Saccharomyces cerevisiae S288C: one gene and its partners. The gene in region 2 interacts genetically with the main gene of each other region. Each region holds a gene or a part of one and is shown on either strand. Other genes may lie near its edges.

Region 1 (5,502 bases), on a different chromosome or scaffold from region 2:
CAAATTTCTTCAAGGCTTCCGGATCGTTACCTTACTCCCAAGCAATAAACGTGAAATCTGTTTTGTATATATATTTGCAGCTTTTTTTCTTTTGTTCTTTTTCTTTTTTTGGAGATGCGTCTTAAAAAGCGCCACAGTTTCAAGGGTCCGGCGGATAATTTGAGCAATGATAGTATGAAATGCCAGATTACTGTGTATTAAATAATACTTCATGAATTTGCGAATGAACCACTTTTTTGAAAGTTTATGGATATAGATGTGCACATGTCGTTTTTTGAGCTTTGGGTGTTTAGAGCGGAAGAGTTGGTGTTGTGAGTTTCAGTTTTATCAATTATTTATGTTTTTCTCTCAGAAGCCATTTTTTTTTGGTTTTATGGTAAAGGCACCCTTTAAAAATAATACTAAATGTTTCTTTGAAAAATACCATACTTACAACTAATTAATTATTATATGATAGTAAACACATATACTTATTTATAACAAAGGGGTAATCAATCTACTTAGCGAAATGTAACCTTTTTAAAAAACCTTACTATCATGTATATTGAGCAACCAATGAACCTTATTAATGCCGATAATGCAACTAACCATAAAATTACATTAAAATAAATTGAGGCCTTACTGGTCATTAAGGGAATTTCCGCCTTCTTTGCAGTTTCTAAAGTGTCATCAGTTGATATGGATTTCATAGCAATATAATCTGCAATCCCACCGGTTTCTAAGACAACAGCAACGATGATGAAATTTGTGATGACCCAAAAGATAATCACGAGAGATCTAACGTTTGCATAATAGCCAGTCTTTTTTTCATCATAAGATGGCTCAGTAGGCCGAGATTCTGATTTTGGATCGAAGTCATTTAAAACTTTCAAATATTTATCGTAGTTTGCTTGAATCTCTGAACTAGAGACCAGAACTTCCATTTTGAACGTACCATCTTCTGTAGTATTAATCTTACCCAGCGGATTTGCCATTGCACCCTTTGTACCCCATGATAAGTCGTGGACATTACAAAATGCATAGATATTCAAAACATTGATGTAAGAAGGACTCAATAAAATATACTGAATAAAACTTGTCAACATATGCCATGGCTGCAAATAGATAATTGAACTGATTAGGTACAAACAATAAGTGGAGCCCAGAGAGATAACAATATCCCTGAAAGCTTCTGTGGTAATCAAACCCTCAAAGCTGATGGTATCGTTTTTCAATATATTTTGGAAGGATTTGACACTCATGAATATACTGCAGAATATCATGTAAATCATCATCACCGCAAAAATGACGCAAGTTAGAACATAAAATTTCTCAGTACTTTTAGGTTTATTACCCAATGACAGTATGAATGTTGATAAGGTACAAATCCCATAAAGCCACAGGAATATGACGGACAACACATTAAATGCTGAATGGTATGCCAGTGCAATAGAAACAGTGAGAATTCTAAAGACTAGGAAAAATGAACTCAATGAAAACCATGAAATCAATGTATTGAAGAAAAGGTAAAAAAATTCAACCGTCAAAAGGAGTTTTCTACCAATATTATGACCACTGCTCCAGACTCTGTAAAAATGACAAAAGGAATATACACTAGCAAAAAATGAACCATTCAACCAACGCCTCCTCTGAAGAATAAATTCAGGGACCCTCTCCGGTACATCTGTTGAAGCATAAGAACTTCTGCAGTATTTCAAAATCCAATTACAATTTTTTTTTGTGACCACTTCAAAGCATAAAATACGATCTTCAGCAAGATACATATTGGAAGAAAAAAAATGAAAACCTTCATTTTCCATAATTTCACCATAAAAGTACTTCTGTAATGGTTGGCCTCTCACAGCTTCAAACCTATACGCAGAGAATGCCCCCGGTAGAACAGTAATAAATCCAAAGTTAGACTCGGTTGTTTTGTCTAAAATATTGGACATTTTGTATTCGAAATTCTGTGATGCAACTAAAGGATTCAAAAGCTTTACAAATCTCTTACCCAAATCAGTTCTTATTTCACCACATGCGCCACCAACATTTGGATTCCTGAACTCTCTCCATAACTGGTAAATAGAATCTTTACCTGGCATGGTACCAGCATCTAACAATGTAACGATATTGGGACGCAGTAATTCTGCAAAGCCTTCAAATGCCCATCTATGTGAGTTAATTTTTTTCTGATTTTGCTCTTTCAAACAAAACAAAAGTTGTATTGGAACGGTACCTTGATTGCATTCTAATGAAACCTCTGATTCCGAAATATTTGTGATGTTGATCATTGTCGTATGTTCGTAGACATGCATTGCCACTTTTTTTTCATTAATTTCATCCTTAGCAAACCCGTCCTGGTAACAACCTAACGAACTTAGTAATGCTAGCGAGCGTTCATTAATTTTGGATCTACCATCTGAAATGATACAAACGACAATCTTTTTCCATGCATCCGGCCCCCAAGTGCTTGAATTTTTTTTTTTCACCATATATTTGACATTGTCCATAATACCTTTCAAAGTTCTTCCTAACAGGATATGGTCTTCATTATACATTGTGACTACTAGCATCAATTCCGTTTCCCTTGGAGTTAAATACTTCAACTGCCTCACCGTGAAATTCTTCTCTGCAAGTTGATTAGGTTCGCAAGTAACTGCTTGATATCTCATAAACTTAAACTCATTTGGTAAAGTGTTTGCATTTTCTGTTGTAGTAGCGTATTGGTCCAATAGCGTCTTACTGATTGGAGAATCGAAAACAAAATTACCATTCCAAAGTTTGAATTTCCTAATTTCAGTACCGCTTCTCTTTAGTGCTCTATTTGCGGTTAAGTTATCATTGCTTACTATTATGTCGGATTCTTTAGATCCGATAGAAGACACCGAGGATGATGCAGGTACACCATTAGCTTGAAACTGTAATTTATCAATAGTGTTGAGATCATCGTACTCGTCATCCCTTGAAAAATCATCCTTGTCATATTCCCCCAAGTCTCTATGAGAGTAACCGCTTTTCACACTGTCTAATTCTTCTTTTCCATCGTTTACGGGTCTGCTATCATCATGAAGATATTCTCTACGCTCCATAGGAGTCATATGTCTTAAACTGTTTTCATAATCGTAAGGATCAACCATTTCACCGTTTCTACCCAAATATGAATTAATCTGATAGTCATCTCCTCTCTGATCAATATAACCACCCTCCGGATCGTCATAGTAATCTTTTGCCTGTAGGCCATGGTAACCATTGTTGTATCCAAAAGGTTGGTCATGGTATTGAGGAATATTACCGCTATTCATGTTATTGTTGGGTTGCTCCAAAATGGGCCTAGCTTCCTGATCTGCATAACCATCGCTACTAGAAGCAATACTCGGTGACGTCCTAGAGTTCCTGTTATTATAATAGTAGTCGTTTTCGTTAAAGAAGGGCCTTTCGATGGGGGTGGCCATAGTCTGTGAGCCGTTATGTATGAGTTCTGGAGTGGTTTGAATCACATTTATCGAAGGAAGTGGATATGAAGGTACGTTATTGTATTGATGTTCCGACGGTAGCTGTTGACTATTCGTATTAAAAACGTCATTGTATTCTGCAGTTGCTGGTGGGGGACGCTGGCGATGGTGGTTGACAAAACCTCCATATATGTCTCGTTCGTTATCATTGATAGTATTATTATTGCCATCGTCACCGTTATAAAGCATATTTGTTTGCTGAGATTGTTCTGGAAATTGCAAAGATTGGACTGGAGTGAATGAACCCATGCTGGCATTTTGATTGGTATATCTTTGGTTCCTGTTTGTTAATTCTTCATTAGAAGAGTGAAATAGCCCGCTATGTGCATTTTGGAGTTCATAGGAAGGTTCATTCTTCCGGTTTGAGTGATATTCATTTCTCGATCGATTATTTTGATCACTCATTGTATAGTTTTTTTGGTTTGGCTTCCCAGTATTAATTTAGTGACTCTTCGAGGAAGGAAAGAAGAGAGAAGAAGAAGAAGAAATGTATACTGCGTATTTAAACAAGCAGTACTGCAAGGTCCGGTAGGCCTCAAAATGTAAGTGTTCTGATCCTTTGGAGTACCGACGTAAAAAATGAACCCGAGATATATATTAAAATCAATAATTTGTAACAAATATTATACCTAGTTTGGCCAAGAAAATCAAATTTCACACTAATGGCTGTGTCGCGTCATTATCGCGTTACCAAGCCACGCGATTTCTAAAAAAAGACTGCTGGGCCCCGTCTCGGCTTTGTTTCAGAGGTAATGTATGTTTCCTGCATGTATTTACTTGTATCAAATTTCGTTTCACCAAGGGTTCTTGTAGCATATGCGCAACGAATTATCTTCTACTTATGTATATGTACGTAATTTCACTACCGATAGTGGCTATAAAAAGGGTGTTCTGGTGGCATATCGAACGTCATTGCGGTAGGCGAAGCAGAAGTACCGTCATCCTCATTTGACTTCTGTTCCAGCCTCTGTAAGAAAAGTAGTCTTTCCTTGGCTTGATTATGGATATAGTTCCTCTTCAGTTTATCAATAATCGTTTCTTGTAACCCGCACTGTTTTGATGAGATAGCGACAGCATTATTCAGAAAAACGTTAGCGTTTTTCATCAATATGTTTAAAGTATGCGCTCCCCCGGGGGTTTTTTGTGACTTTTCAGTTGATTCTTTTATAGCGTACCTTCTCAGTTCATTATCGGAGGAATTTACTAAGACATCACAAAGTTGAAAAACTACGTGACTCAATTGTTCGTTCAATGTCTGATTTTTCAGAAACAAGATTTGATTTCTATAGTCTGTTAATAAAGTTCTAGCCTCTGTAAGAACTTTGGTCAATAACCCAGAGAGTTTCCAAGATGCATCTGAAGAATAATCGTTTAAACATAGAATGGCAAATTCAACGATATCAACTCTAATCAACGAAAGATCAATCTTACCCTGTACATCTTTTTCATCAAGCAGATCGGTAAAGGAGACGGTTTGCAGAACAAAATCTTGCAATGACTCGAAGGTTCCGGAGCTAATGATGTTCAAACCTTCAATTAAAGTCTTGGCTAAACCGATTTCCTTCAAATCTAATGGAATGGCGGCGGAAATGGAGTCTATAATGTCGCGTAGTTGTAAATAGAATTTATTGGTTGTATCTTCCAAGAAATTAATCTGAATAGGATTCAAGATTTTCGTTTCGACATTTTTTTCAATAGATATTTTCGACTCAATAACCAATTCCATCAAAGCATGGTTGAACTTTAAAGAGTTGGCGAGTACTTCGGTAAGTGAAGACGGAGTCACTTGTTCAGAAACGTCCATAACTTCTGCTGGAGGTTGTACAGGTCCATTGGTTCGGATACCACTTCCGTCCCTGGTAACTTGCATCGCGTCTTCATCCAAAGTATCTCTTTGCAATTCCGTATCTGTGTCATCGGAATCTTGTTCTGCATTTTCACTCCAGTTTTGTAGTTCTTGTAACAGATAATTAACCAGGTGTTGAAAGATTTCAATATACTTGTTTGTCAA
Region 2 (8,411 bases):
AAGTAAAAAAATTATCACCATTTTTTCTCTATTAGTAATGAATTCTTCAAGGACTTTCAAAAGTAAACGTCACAAAAATTTTTATTTCTCAAGAATCTTGTTTATCGAAGGGTCTTTATTGAGAAATGTTAGAAAATTGGTAACTTTTTAAGATCAGAGTTAACAGGCAGAAAAAAAACAGGGTCTTTTTGTTCAGGAACCCTTTTTGGCTGAAAAAAAGAGCGCACAGAACAACGCGAAAAAGAAAAGGAGGAAATCGCGTATCCTTATGGCGTCGCAAAATTGCAATTAGTTAGCTATGTAATCTGTTTGGAAAGCTTCCTCAAAATTAATAATGGCGAAAGCAATATAACATCACTATTACATCAGGAATAGCTGTTGCCATACGATAAGGGGGTAATGAACAGATTGCTCATTAATGTCTATATTATGCATAATACGATTTTAATGTTCGGAATCTGTAGATGGTGCTAACATTTTACATGAACCAGCGAATAACCAGACTGGACTCGTTTGACCAAAAAAATTTCTGTTGGTAGTCTGTGTAGGTTTTCACAAAGAATAGTATAAATTGATACGCAACGAAATTAGTGGTAAAAATTTTTGTTTACTTTACGGCTTACACGGGGCCGTGGCTGATACTGGGAATACCATATCGTTTCGTTCCAGTGCCGATAAAGTGGCTGAAAAAAATTTACATATTTTTCTTGAGAGAGGTCTTTAACTGGTCTCACAGAGACGGTTAATCAAATGCTCGGAAACAGGATAAATGAGGACATCTGCACAATCGGGTGTTACCGCCTTATCTTGTTAGCAGTGGCTATAATCACTCCAGAATATGCCGTCGTGTTGGTGGCATAAAAAATTCTTTTTTTGCCATATAAGAATATCCAAGTTTAGGAATGACGCAAATTCGACACCAGGAATAATTAACGAGTTAATTCTCCCGACCCTCAAAATTTGAATAACAGTGCCCTCTTCTATCTGTTCACCACGGCACACAAACGGTTTGGAAAGATGTTGCTTTGGGTGTGAAAACTTTATTTATCACTGCTTTGCCATCACAATGTCTGTGATTTGAAGACCAGCTACTTCTCATTTAAAATAATATCTTATACGTACCATTGCTTCCTTTTCTGTAAGATGATCAACTACACGTCATCCTGAAAAGCAACATCACTAACAACTTGAGGCTTTAAGTCCAAACTCAATGTTGCAACAAGATGGTTTAAAGCAGCTCTTAATCAGTAGAAGCGAATATCAGCAGTAGACTTTTTGGCACTAGAAAATAAACTTCTTGAGTAAATTCTAGAGATACCTGCCTAGAAAACCCCCCTGAAGAGCCAATTTAGGTAGGAATTGTAATAAAGGTCTCAAGCTTGTAGGAGAATTATTTTTTTAACCCGCAGCAACAGTATTGTCACTTTCTTCTTTTACGACGTCATATTTTATAAAACGAATCTTCTCAACCTTTTTTAAAATTCCCAGTTGTCTACTTACAAATAATGACGTTCGTGTAAGTTTAGAGACTATCGGCACGCTCTAAAATGTGACTATATCGATATCGATTTGGCGGTTTTCACCAATAACAAAATGGGTGAAACATAGCTGAATTTTCTGCAATTCTTAGAATCCTATTATGAAATATTGGGGCCTTGAGCATTAAACCGACACCCGAACAAATTGAATATTTCGAAAATTGTTCTTTTCGATGTCATTTTTACCAAAAGTTAGATAGGAGATGACCCAGCGGTTACCTGTATTTCAGAGGTTACAACAAATTAAAGCGGTCTTATATTACTTTAGAAGCACCAACTTACATATTCTGGATAAACAGTATTTCTAACTTACTACTAGTTTAGTAACACATGTTCGTTACAGATAAGCCATTCAAAGATAATTAAAATCAGTTGCGCCATTATTAAAGGCCGAGAAATATATCAAGGTTTTCAGCTTAAAGGGATTTGCTGACTTTCTTATGCACTAACGCGCCAACATCGTCCTTTTAAAAATTAAGTCAACTCATCGCTTAGCGCTTAGCGCTAATGCTGGTCTTCCTCGAAGAGAACATGCGTTCGTATTGAGATATAAGTAAATATTGTGGTAATTACCGGAGTTTCATTGTTAAAAAAGAGTATGGAATTATGAATACAGAATAGGCCAGGAATTTTCATGAGACTATGGGAAATTGCCAAGGGAATCAATAATTCCACATAATGTAATTTTTCTTCTTCCTTTCTATGTGCCCTCGTTTATTTCCTATTACATTGCTACTCCTTTTATTTCAGCTTTTATTAATTCTGAAATCATTAGTAATATAAATTCTGGGTTAGGAAATCATAATTGATCTCATTCCAATGCACTAGAATACCTATGTACACACGAAAGTGCTTAAGTTATCATATGACGAACAGAGAATATCATATGTTCCATTTTTATTTTTCTATAAACAAAAGTTGCGTATTATTGTATTTTTTTGTTGTGTTATGCAATAAGCAGAGGCTACGATGTATTAATTAATCGGTTCCTCAAAAAAAAAAAAAAGTGATCTATAAAGCGTTGACGATAATCAATACTTTGTTATATTTTGGTAGTCCTGACGGGTTTCAAAATAAACAAAGTTAACAATCCGCCTACTAATTTGATTTGCTTTTTTTCATGGGCAGTAACATCAAGAAAACACTTTGTTGTTAAGCCCATCTAAGTATCATATTACCAAATCTTCTGTGAGTAAAATGATATAATAGGACTCAACGTGACTGTCAGTCTTCAGTAGCCCTGGTGTTTAATATATCGAATCAGTCTTAGGAATTAAAAAGCCCCTATATTACAGAGGGCATTGGACATTATTTATCAATGTACTTTGAAGTTTGCTTGCGTGTGTTTTCACCGGTCTAAAACATTCTTTTGTAGAAGGGTTTCTCGTCATGCTGTAATTTTTCGTTATCATAATCACCATCCCTTCTAGAAGCTGGTACCCAGGATTCAGATTTCCAAGGTAATACACCGTCCATCCACATCTCATCAACTTCTTCTAAAGTTAGACCTTTTGTTTCTGGAACAAAGAAAAAGACGTAAAAATATGAAAACGCTAAGCAACCCATGAAAACGTAACCGTAGTAGAAATTAATTGCCGAAGTAATAAAAGGAGTGAAAAACCCGATTAGGAACCCCCACAATAAGTTGGCCGCTGTTGCAACGGACATACACTTGGATCTCACCCTTAATGGAAATGTTTCAGAAATAATCACATAACATACAGGTCCCCAGGTGCAGGAAAAGCAGAAAATGTAAAAACACGTGAAAACAATCGTACAATTACCAGCACCTTTAGATGATGGTTCACTTTTACCGTTCGGATATAGTCTTGTGACGCCAACGGAGGCGTAAATAACCATGCACGCCGTCATGGTGGCTGCTCCAAGTAAAAGACATCTACGACGGCCCAACTTATCAACAGAATAAAGTGAAAAGAAGCAAGAAGCAAAATTCACAATACCCAAGACAATTGAAGTCTCAAAAGAGTCATTCATACCGACAGATTTGAAGATAGTAGTACCGTAGTAGAAGAAATAGTTGTCACCGGTTAGTTGCTGCAGAGAGTTAATCATGACTGTCATCGTTAAACGTTGAAAAACTTTAGTCTTTCTCGAAAATAATTCCTTCCATGAAGCAGTTCCCATTGCTTCTTCTGCCTCCACACCAGCAACAAGAAGATCAATCTCTGCAACCACAGCAGGATCGTCAACACTAAGCTTGTTCGACTTGGCAAAAGAAGCTTTAGCTTGCTCAATCTTACCGACTTGCACCAAAAACCGAGGAGATTCCGGAACAAACGTCATACCACCAATCATAATAATAGCCCATGCAAAACATAGACCAAGCGGAACACGCCACTGGACAGAATTCGAGTAAGTCTTGGTACCATAATTGGTACAATAACCCAAGAAAATTGCGAAAGTCACCATCAATTGCCAACAAGCTAGCAACGTACCTCTGATATGCTTTGGCGCAGTTTCCGAAATAAGCATCGGGGCAAGAACACTAATGGAACCAGCACCTATACCAGCGATAATTCTTCCAATAAAATACTGATACCACTTATCTATAGAGGCAATTTGAATGACAATACCAACCATATAAACGACAATAACTATAATCAAACCCATGCAGCGGCCGTAAATATCACCCAATTTAGACAAGAAAAGACAGCCAATGGCGCTTCCCACATTGAAGATGGACACAATCAACCCAGTTCTCACATTAGATAAGTAGTAAGTGTTCTTGGAATGGCTATAATTACCAAATCTTCTTAAAAAATCAGTCTGATTGACGAAACCAGAAATCGTACCTGTGTCCCAACCGGACATAAATCCACCGAAAGCCATACATAAACACATGATAGAAACAGTAGCATAGGCTGAAGCAGGCTTTTCTGGAACAACAACTTCCTCTGCCTCTTCCCCATTATACTCGGAAAAGTCCTTGTTTTCCTCCACTGTAGGTACTGACAGATGTGAAGAATTTTCTATCGAAGGGCAGCCATCATCTTCTGCCTCTTCGAAAATCGGTTCTTCTGGCAAGTTGGTTTTACGATCAGTCATGGTTTTTGCTGGCGTTCTGAGCTAACTAAAAGTGACTTATAAAAAATGCAATCTAAAATAAGAATGAAACAAAAATGGTCGTTTAAATATATCTAGTCAAGCTTCATCCCTTACAATGGTTAGCGATGATATTCCGTCGTCCAAAAGATTACGACCATGCCAGTTCATATTATTTTACTTAAGAGTTCATGTCTTTCATGCGAAGAAGCGTTCGGAAATTCCAAAACTTCTTAGAGTTCAGGAACAGGCCCGGTCGCGGAATTATTCTCGGGATAATTCCAGCCGCTTGGCAGGTAGGCTAAATTACACATTTCAAGAACTTTCTCCGGCCTTTTCTGTGAGATACGTTTATAAGTTGCTGCAGCAGGATGCTCTAGGCTGCTTTCTCTGGAATTTCTCTCCTTCTCCACATACCTCGTTGTTGAATCCCCGCGGAGGTGATATAATAAAGTTGCGTGAAAGCGTAAATGCCTAGACGGAGAAAAGAAAACGGGGAAATAAACTTTGCATTATTTTTCCTCCGTGGAGAATCCTCGGAGAAACACGGGAATATTTGAAACTATTTGCAACATTGTCCATTGAAATAGTCACAATCCTAGAAGCTAATTCACCGGAAAAAGTAATTCACACTTAAGAATTGTATCTTCCATTACCGCTACGGTAATTGATACGGTTTTGAGGAGTAAGTTCATAAACGTCTGACGAATTATAAATTAGGACACTTGTTCACATATCTTGGTGCGAAAAACTACTGTTTCTTGATGACTATATAGAAAGTGCTCAATATTGAAAAGAAAAACATGACGATCATCCATAATCCTAAATGGTGGAAAGAAGCCACCGTCTACCAAATTTATCCTGCTAGTTTCAAGGACTCCAACAATGACGGATGGGGTGATTTAGCTGGGATTACCTCCAAACTTGACTATGTCAAAGAATTAGGTGTCGATGCGATATGGGTGTGCCCATTTTATGACTCTCCTCAAGAAGATATGGGTTACGATATTGCCAACTATGAGAAGGTTTGGCCACGTTACGGTACCAATGAGGATTGTTTCCAAATGATAGAAGAAGCTCATAAGAGAGGTATCAAGGTTATTGTTGACCTGGTTATCAACCACTGTTCTGAAGAGCATGAATGGTTCAAGGAGAGTAGATCTTCTAAGGCTAATCCAAAGCGTGACTGGTTTTTCTGGAGACCTCCAAAGGGTTACGATGAGAAAGGTAATCCAATTCCTCCCAACAATTGGAGATCTTTCTTTGGTGGATCTGCTTGGAGATATGACGAAAAAACTGGTGAGTTCTTTCTGCATGTGTTTGCTCTTGGCCAACCTGATTTCAATTGGGAAAATGAAGAGTGCCGTAAAGCCATTTATGACTCCTCAGTGGGCTATTGGCTACGTCACAACGTTGATGGCTTTCGTATTGACGTAGGCAGCATGTATTCTAAGGTTGAGGGCCTACCCGATGCTCCTATCACTGATCCTACAGTTCCTTACCAAAAAGGAACTGAATTTTTCATAAATGGGCCACGTATCCATGAGTATCATAAAGAAATGCATAACTACATGCTCTCGCAAGTTCCAGAGGGTAAAGAAATCATGACTGTTGGAGAAGTTGGTATCGGGAATGAAGACGACTTCAGAGTTTATACCAGTGCCAAAGAAGGAGAACTAAATATGATGTTCAACTTCAAGCACACCTCAGTAGGTGAAAACCCAAAATGCAAGTACGAACTTATTCCCTTTACTTTAAAAGACTTTAAGCTGGCTCTTGCTGAAAGCTTTCTGTTTATCGAAAACACAGATTGCTGGTCGACCATCTATTTGGAGAATCATGATCAACCTCGTAGCGTTTCGCGTTTTGGCTCAGATTCTCCTAAATGGCGTGAGATTTCGTCCAAGATGTTGGCTACTCTCATCATTTCATTGACTGGTACTGTTTTTATCTACCAAGGACAAGAATTGGGTATGCCCAACTTCAAAAACAGAAAAATTGAGCAAATCAAATGCGTTGAAGGTACTGGTACATATGCCGCCATTAAACGTGATTATGGTGAAGATTCTGAAAAGATGAAAAAGTTTTTTGAAGCATTAGCTTTGATCTCTAGAGATCATGGGAGAACACCATTCCCATGGAGTGCTGATGAGCCTTCTGCAGGTTTCTCGAAGGATGCCAAACCATGGATTGACATGAATGAATCATTTAGAGACGGAATCAACGCAGAAGCTGAGTTAAAAGATAAAAACTCAGTCTTCTTTTTCTGGAAAAAGGCCTTACAAGTTAGAAAGGAGCACAAAGATATCCTTGTTTATGGACATAACTTTCAGTTCATTGATCTTGATAATGACAAGCTATTCATGTTTACAAAGGACACAGATAACAAAAAAATGTTTGCTGTTTTCAATTTCAGTAGCGATAATACGGACTTTTCAGTTCCTGATAATGAGGCCTCCTACACCATGTTTTTTGGCAACTATGCAAACTCAAATGGTGATTCCCGCACCTTGCAGCCATGGGAAGGAAGACTTTACTTGTTGAAGTAACGAGCACATTTAACATAAACGTACTGATCTTTCGAAACAAATAGTTATGCCGATATTTATGAATAATAAACTTGTATATTTCTTTTTACTTTTGCTTTTCATATGTGAGCATTGGATACTTAACTTACGCTGTACGCTATTTTCAATTGCAATTTATATATGTATATAGAAGACAGAAAATTCACTGAACCTTTTTCCGAAGAAATATAAAATAAAAAGCAACGTACAGCAGAAAAATAGAAAACATCATTATTACTGTTTCTATTGTCTAAATTTAGCCCTTTAAACCCCATCATCATAAGTACTAATTACCACGAATTCAATAATTAGTAAATACATTCGACTATTCTCACCCTAACTTTCGTCACTTTATCTTAAAACACTAGCTAAAAGTCGTTTATTATAACAAAACTAAAAATTTCGTAGTATGCACGCCTTATTGCCCAGTATTTTGTTAACTGTATGGATTGTACTAGTAAAAAAAATCTTGACGAAATTGAGTATAAACAAAATTTTAAAAAGCATAGTGCCAAATCAACAGATCTTAGTGAGGTGCAGGCCTTGTTCTTAACAAAAGCAAACCCCTCTTTATATATTGATATATAGGTGAACTAACTCAAATCATGTAAAGCTTTTCCTAAAGGAGCTGTGAGACTCCATTCCGAGAAAGTAACTTTCAATCCGCCACGCTCAGGTGTGCAAGCCATTGGTCCAACAAGGTAATGGTCAGAAGTTGGAAATGGAGCCAAACGTACTAACGGCCATGTTTTTTTATCAGAGGACACCTGAATCCTCAAAACGCCCTTTTCAACAGTAACACGAAGCCAGAAATCGCGAGCATTTCCGCCATAAACAGCAGTTGACCAATCTGATTTTCCATTTGTCAAAACACTGCTTAGCATTGCGTGGCCATCAGAAATTTCTATGCCAGCTTTGAGCCAATGTCCATCATCTATACGAACCATGATACCAGCCTGATCATAAAGACTCTCGTAGCTTCCCTGAACACGGACTTGTGCAGTAAAAGCACTACCTGTCTCTACTCCCAAAAAATGACCGCTATCACGGGTAAATCCGTAAAATGTTTCACGCCAAAAGTCAGTTTTTTCATCTGTTTCCAGAGTGACTTTTCCTGCCTCTTGAAAAACAGATTTTGGCTTATTGAGCCATGTTCCTTGCGATAATTCAGTATTCTTAGATTCGACCATTGTGTTTGGTAATTTATCTTGTTTGATGGAGAAGCCGTCACTTGGACTTTTGT
Region 3 (7,752 bases), on a different chromosome or scaffold from region 2:
GATGAACACTTCTCCAACTTTCAGCACATCATCTAATCTGTTTTTCTTTTTTTTGTTAGCATAAAATTCTGCAAGTAGAGGCAATATGGTTTCTGGCTCTAATTCACATAGCGTTGTAAGTCCTTTAATAACGTTGAGATAAATGAAAGGGTCCATATTCTTTAAATAATCTAAATGTATTTGCAACACCTTTTCCAGTGAAATTACTGGAGACTTCTTTTCAGCTAGATGACGTAGTTCTGTTAAACCATAAGATTTTATGGGCACTAAAGGATCATGTAGACTAGTTATCGCTTTGTCAAGCCTTTCCTCATCCATCTCAATTTCTATGTTGTCGTTCCTTTCCGTAGTATGTCCGTTAATCAATATATTATCTATTGATGCCAATAATGCATCTATTTCGGAAGCATTAGTGTTGAAAGATTGTAATTTTCTAGAAATGGATTTCAATATATAACTGTTTTGCAATAATATACTACTGGACGATTCTGAAAGGACGGTTGATAATAACTGCAAGATAATTTTGTAGGAAGAATTTTCATTTGGATCCAATTCTTCTGTTTCTTCTCCTTCTTCAACTTCGTCGTCAGAATCTGCTTCTACTTCCTGTATTGTTTCATCTTTTTCCTGAACAACATCTATCAATTGATCAATAACAATAAGAACGTCCTTAGGTTTATTAACAATCTTGGTTTTAAATCGGTTGTTCATACATTCCAAAAGTTTCAAGTCCATGAGTATTAACGCGTTATCTGTAACGCTTGGCATCCCGCTATGATTATCGGAAGATCTTTTTTCACTTTTTTTTGTATGATGGACCCATCTTTTCAGAATATCTAAAAATAAAGTCTTTGATTGTTCCTCATCATTTAGCAGCACTAAAAATTCCATAAATAATTCTATCGAAAGGTCCATATCTTGAAGAAACTCAGAAATTTGAGAGTTTTTGGATCCTTTTTCGAAAAACAACTCTGCCATATCTGTGTTTTTAACCGATATGTAGGGTAGCTGAGTATCAAGATCAATTAAATACTTCCATTTCTCGTGCTCAAAATTCAGTAAGTTAAGGCTCAGTACATTTAGATATTGAAAATTTTCTGTTATGACTATTAGAGATTTTAATAATGATAATACAACCTCGTAATACTTTGAGGAAGATTGCTCTGGAAAATGTATGCTGTCTGTGCTTTTATTATCTGAAATAGACAATTTGTTTATTTCTAATGGGTCTAGTTTTTGGTTTTTCTTCAAAAAAAGAGCATATATCCATACATATAAAAAGAACTGTCCAGGCGTAGTACCGTCTTCATCAGGGCAACTAGTAACTAAATCATTCAGCAAATCCGATGAAGAATTTTTGGATAAAGATATAAGAACGTTTATAACATCGTTCAGTTCCTTTGCTGTATGATCAGTTAACGGGGAATTAAAGATAATGGAGCGGACCTTCTTAAACAAAAAATCGTTAACAATCCTCTTATTCCTCAGGTAAAATTTAAGGATTAGTCCGTTCAAACAAGTGACCAGGATAGGCCTGTTCACAAAGGTGAGACCATCATAAATTTGCTTGAATAGTTCCGTCAAGTATTGCAAATTTGTCATTGTTTTTGGCTTACTCATCAAAATTTGGTAGATACGGTTAAACTTTTCAATATCTATATCTTCAGCATCTCTCACACCCAAAACGAAATCAATCAAGCTGATCAGACCATTTTCCGGTCTTCGTAGAGTTAACGTTGTTAACTTCGAAAGGATTGGCTCCCTAACCTTTTCGTCTTGAATTGTTTCTACTAGTAGAGTGTAAACCCCAAACAAAGTATAAGTTTCTTGAGTATCTTCTAGATTTGTAATCATTTGTGAAGAGTACCTATTAGGCAACTGCAAATGTAACACAATCAAACCTAATAAAATGTTTGCGTAAGCACTGCCTTTTGATATTATTTCTCTCAGGTAGTCAGAAGACCTCTCACTAGTTAGAACATTATAAAAGACAGTTATGACTTGAGATAAAGTATCGTTATTTATGGTGTGCCATCGAGGCGTTTCATATTCTGCGCTTTTTTGGCCCTTCTTGAAAGTATTTATTCTTTTCGAATCGAATGGAATTTTCATCGTAGGAGACAAATTAGCATCTATACCATGAATAATCAAAAGATTTATCAGTTCGTCTACGTATTTCATATCATGCAATGAGATAGGCAATAAGTCACTTTTACTTTCGATGAGCCTCCGTTGCTGTTCTAGTACGTGAATGTGCAAATTCTGGAATTTCTGTAAAAGTACTGCAACAAACTCATTGTTATTTGAGCACTTCAACGCCTGATAAATGGAAGAGGATGATGATGAGCCTGAATCAAGAACATATTCGTTTATGGGAGTAATTACATTGTCATCCAGATCTTCGAAGAAAACATCTAGGGCTGTCTTTTTGGTGAGCTTCGGTCTTGTATTCAATATATCGTGTATGTTGATCTTTTGCTCTTTATCCTCATTCATTTTCCAACCTTTTGTTTTTCTTGATCTGATATGACAAGAAGAAACATGAGGCGGTGATGAGCCCTTATTGCTATATGCTGTTCGACGCGATGAGATGATTACATGTTTTTTATTAAATTTCTCAAGCAGACTGCGGGTAACCTTGATTTTTAATTATTCAATAGGAATTCTTTTTTTTTTTAGAAAATAAAATGTTCTGCGTAGTGTACTTCTATTTATAAATATAATAATATTATTGATTAATTAGGCATCGCATTTTCAAAAATTTTTAAGAATGCGGGACACCAATTTGAGATTGTTGTGTCAGTAACCATCCAATGTTTAATGGTTTTCACGGCCATATTTTTGTCTTTTTCATTGAAAATCTGGGATAGTACTGTTTTGGTGTGCTCGTTTTGTAAAATCTTGGTAATGTTTGAATCTAATTTTTTCTTGTAAAATTCCAACTCCTTCGAAGAGAGCTTCGAGCCACACACACAGAGGTCGTTGATCTTAGCCACTAATTCTTCTTTACTGCATAATATCGGCTGGAGCTGTCTATCGCCTTGGTCTTTTACGAGCACACCTTCACAGGCAGATTCTTGTTGAGCAGCAGTTACAGATGGCCTCCTCAAAACTGGTGGCGGCGTAGTAGCTGTTTTAGTGTTCCCATAAAGATCTAACACTTCTGTGGCAAGTCTGCCGCTAACACATCTTTTCGATTTCGTTCTTTGTTTAGATTTGGATCTAGGTCCGCTATTAGGGTCGATAGAAAACAAAACTGTCGGACAGTCGTTATAACCAGGCACTTCAGCTTCTAGACAATTCTGAAAACTTTTGGTTGGTTTAATAGCCATCGTACGTAATAGTATGTGCGGAAATAGATTGACGAAGAACCGACAGATGCGCGTCTACTGAAGCTCTTATGAGTAGCCTGTGTGAATAAAGAAGCCAGCTAAAAGTAAATATGTGGCATCTTTATGTCTTACGAGCCGGGTACCAAGCGGCAGCAAAGGGTCCCCCCTAAACGACGTGCTTATCACCCGGCCGTTGTTTACGAAATGGCCTTTTTTGACGTTTTTAGTTTCAATGGATGGATGAAAAAAGCAAGTAAAATGACAAATAAATGCTGTTGGCAGGTTAAATCGTTTAATATACCCATAAGAGAGCTGGAATAGTGTGGAATTGTAATACTTTACATTTGAAAACTGCCCATACACGCACAAATATTGCAGCAATGAGCAACGCTAATCCTTATGAGAATAACAATCCGTACGCTGAAAACTATGAAATGCAAGAGGACTTGAACAATGCTCCTACTGGTCACTCAGATGGTAGCGACGATTTCGTAGCTTTTATGAACAAGATCAACTCAATAAATGCTAACTTGTCCAGGTACGAAAACATTATCAACCAAATTGATGCGCAACACAAAGACCTACTTACTCAAGTGAGTGAGGAACAGGAGATGGAATTGAGACGTTCTTTGGACGATTACATCTCTCAGGCCACAGATTTGCAGTATCAATTGAAAGCGGATATCAAAGATGCCCAGAGAGACGGATTGCACGACTCTAATAAACAGGCACAAGCTGAAAATTGCAGACAGAAATTCTTAAAATTAATTCAAGACTACAGAATTATCGATTCTAACTACAAAGAAGAAAGCAAAGAGCAGGCGAAGAGACAGTACACAATTATCCAACCGGAAGCCACTGACGAAGAAGTGGAAGCCGCCATCAACGATGTCAATGGCCAGCAGATCTTTTCCCAAGCGTTGCTAAACGCCAATAGACGTGGTGAGGCCAAGACAGCATTGGCCGAAGTACAGGCTAGACATCAAGAGTTGTTGAAGTTGGAAAAAACAATGGCTGAACTTACCCAATTGTTCAATGACATGGAAGAGTTGGTCATCGAACAACAAGAAAATGTGGATGTCATTGACAAAAACGTCGAAGACGCTCAGCAAGATGTAGAGCAAGGTGTGGGTCACACCAACAAGGCCGTTAAGAGTGCCAGAAAAGCAAGAAAAAACAAAATAAGATGTTTGATCATCTGCTTTATTATCTTTGCTATTGTTGTTGTCGTTGTGGTTGTTCCATCCGTTGTGGAAACAAGAAAGTAATAGAGCACATGCGCCTCCCTCCCGCCAGCCCCCCAATTCCTATTATGTGTAATCAAACAATTTCTATTAAAACCGAAAACCTAAAAATTGTAACGTCTTTTCTCTTTCCTACTATACCCTCCTCATACCTGCCTTTTTAACAATTAGTATTATAATTTTTTTTTTTCACAAAAAGACAATACCGACTATCTAATAAATAATTTTAATACGTATGTAATTTCGTTAAGAACAAGAATTTTTAAGTAAAAAATCTTACTTTTAAGAAAAACTGTCGCCCTTAATATTAGTCCCAATTTTGTAACGAAAAATAAAATACAAATCGGGGTGGAAAAAGGGAAATTTTACAACATTATTATTCCAAAAACTAGTTTTCAAAAAGTAAATCGTGGGGGTATGAACAACAATTGTTGTAGTCGCAACTACGGTAATTGGTCCTAAAAAATTATTCTCCGGGAAAAAAAGAAGAAACAAAGAGATCCCGAAACATAAGTCCCGTGATTCTTTTTGCCCCCCGCTTTCTTTCGCCAAGAGAAGAGCAATTTATTGAAAGGCTTTTCTTGATGTTTTTGGGTTGTGAAAGCGTTAATAGCGCCAAGTTAGAATAGTAAATATCACAACTACAATATCTACACTTCTCACTTGCGCATTAACCTGCACACGTACTAGACTTTATCTGTCTTGATTGTTACTTCTAGACCAATCAACATTGAAGCGCTCGGCAAATGCTTGACAAGAAAAAAAACTAATTTTCCCTTCGCCTTTTATAGTGCCCATCGGATAGGATATTCCATCTTTGTCTTGCGCCCACTTCGTTGTCGTTACCCGCACGTTGTGTTTTTTGAGGGCTTGAGCAAATTCTTACAGTTAAGGTACAATAGTTGTCTCGAAGAGCAGTACATCAACGGCCTGACGACCTACAGTAGCACTTTCCTTTAAGTGTATATAAACTTTCCTTTTCGGTAAGGGATGCAGGAGAAAGGGCGAGTTTTGTTTATATGCGATCCTTTATGGTAACCTTTGCGGTTAATTCAGCATTATGGTTGCTGATGCACACTTAACGAGGGGAAGAAATATTATGTTACATGCATGAAACGCACTCGGTTTTCTCATGGTCTTTCTTTTTTCGGGATTTCTTTTAATAATATCTTTAAAGTATTACTGGTAGTCGGTCTTTCCCCACACAAAAAAAATTAAAAAAAAAAAAAAAAAAAAGAAACTTTCCGGCGCTCCTTCAGGAGTCTCGTAACTGATGCTTTTTCTCTTCCTAATATTAAGATAAAAAAAAAATTAAACACCGGTAGCAACTTCTCGAGCCATAGGGTCCTGCACACCCTGCCATGTTACCGCACGGACCATTAAGTTACGTGGATGCCGGACTCTCAAGCCATGAAAAGTTTATCTTTATTTAAGTAGAGTTTTTCCTTCTTCTCAAATTTCTGAGAATTTTTATCTTCGATCATTCCCTCTTTTTTTCTTTTTTTCTTTTTTTCTTTTTTTCTTTTTTTTTTCCCTTCTCTTACTTTCTTATTTTTTTTTTTCATTCCTCAGCGGATCCCTTCAATCGTTTATAACATTATTTTCCTTCTCTTTTCTTTCATTGTATCTTCTTGATTTCAACTATTGTTTGTGTGTATATGAACAGACGCCTCCTTCTCTTTCTTTCGTGTATTCTTGATTCAATTGCGACTTCATAGCACTATTCCTCCCCACTCACGTCTATAGTCCAGGACAATTAGCATGACACTGGTTAAACATGAGAGGAAAACAACCGAAAAGGAACAAAGACAACGCTTCTGTCAAGAGAAATTATAGATGCGTGGGATATCCTGATTGTAACATGAGTTTCAATAGGACCGAACATTTGGCTAGACATATCAGGAAACACACAGGGGAGAAACCATTCCAATGCAATATCTGCCTTAAATTCTTCAGTAGAATCGATAACTTAAGACAACATCAATCTTCTGTTCATTCGGACGTTGATTTGATGTCCTTACGTAGACTGCAGCAGTCCGCAAATAGCACTGCGAACGACCCTAACGCAACAAGAATGTTCCCGCAATTACGCCCATATGGAATTGTTGTCCAGCCCGCGCCTGTTCCATACAATCTGCCCATATCAACTCCTGCTAGCCCACAAGACACTATATCTCTTTACGCACCACCATACTTCCCTCATCCTATGCCATCTGCTCCCATACCATTGCCGCATCAGCCTCCTCCACTACCAATATACAGCTATATGCAACCACTCTTCCTGAACCACACTCCCATACAAAACCACAACATTGTAGAGCTCCCTCCAGATAGCAGTGACACTCCAGCATCGCCGTCTAAGGTGCAAAGTTTTGACCAGGCCAAGGACGCTTCACCAAACGCAAAAAAATAAGCTCTACCGCACCCACTCCTCCATTTCACAAGCCGCATCATTGCTGCTATTGTACCCTCTTGGCCATTCGCGTGCGCGTTGATTGCCGTTATTATGCAGATATTTTGATATCGCTTGCCGTTTGGCTCATCTCCGCGCCCTTAAAATATATCCGCTTCTGTTGGGAAATGCCGAGCATAAAAATGCCGAAAATATAAAAAGAACAAGAACAATACCCTTCGAGGGAAACGCTATTTTCCTGTCCACACAACCTTAATTAATTCGCACGTCTGTGCCACCAAGTAGCAACTGGTTCGTATTGCTTTATCTTTCTTGCTTGTTATTACATTGCTGTAAGATAACAAGCAGCGTTTTACTCTACGGATTGTTTATAAGGATTTTGTTCCTCGACCCCTTATATTTACTCACCTTCCCCCTACTCTAATTCTCCTGATTTCAGAACAAAAAAAAAATGACTCCACTTTTGCAGGCGGAAGCAAAAATGAACACAAGCCTCTACCTTACGGAAAGCATCCAACAACATGAATTCAACCTCACCAGCCCTCAGTCATTCTATTCTTCTCCCTCGGTACCCAATAGTAAAAATAACTCGGGCATTTTCAGCTATAACACTGCCAACAACAGTAGGGTGAGTTCTAGTGATGAATTCACTACCCAACAAGACGGCATGAACACCATAATGTACAAAAACAACATCAGTAAAACTTTCGAAGACGACATCTTTTATTGTCCAAGAAGTTTGCTCACCCCAGAAGAACAAGTG

What was found.
Region 1: mutations in HXT8 (region 2) and CHS1 are lethal when combined (synthetic lethality), as found in Saccharomyces cerevisiae (2 studies listed by BioGRID, with this or other methods).
Region 3: mutations in HXT8 (region 2) and SSO2 together harm fitness more than expected from each alone (negative genetic interaction), as found in Saccharomyces cerevisiae (2 studies listed by BioGRID).

Annotation. Positions count from the first base shown.
Region 1 is NC_001146.8:274,896-280,397, reverse strand, and holds CHS1 (chitin synthase CHS1), read right to left. Parts: upstream 3,897-5,502; coding exon 501-3,896; downstream 1-500. Other genes in the region: YNL193W (uncharacterized protein), read right to left, coding at 4,354-5,502. UniProt on the Saccharomyces cerevisiae protein: Polymerizes chitin, a structural polymer of the cell wall and septum, by transferring the sugar moiety of UDP-GlcNAc to the non-reducing end of the growing chitin polymer. Required for mitotic division septum formation during adverse conditions.
Region 2 is NC_001142.9:23,080-31,490, reverse strand, and holds HXT8 (hexose transporter HXT8), read right to left. Parts: upstream 4,605-8,411; coding exon 2,895-4,604; downstream 1-2,894. Other genes in the region: oligo-1,6-glucosidase IMA5, read left to right, coding at 5,405-7,150; REE1 (Ree1p), read right to left, coding at 7,762-8,358. UniProt on the Saccharomyces cerevisiae protein: Probable glucose transporter.
Region 3 is NC_001145.3:623,769-631,520, reverse strand, and holds SSO2 (syntaxin), read left to right. Parts: upstream 1-3,712; coding exon 3,713-4,600; downstream 4,601-7,752. Other genes in the region: RTP1 (Rtp1p), read right to left, coding at 1-2,496; ADD37 (Add37p), read right to left, coding at 2,736-3,332; MIN3 (Min3p), read right to left, coding at 5,624-5,710; RGM1 (Rgm1p), read left to right, coding at 6,354-6,989; YMR181C (uncharacterized protein), read left to right, coding at 7,441-7,752. UniProt on the Saccharomyces cerevisiae protein: Required for vesicle fusion with the plasma membrane.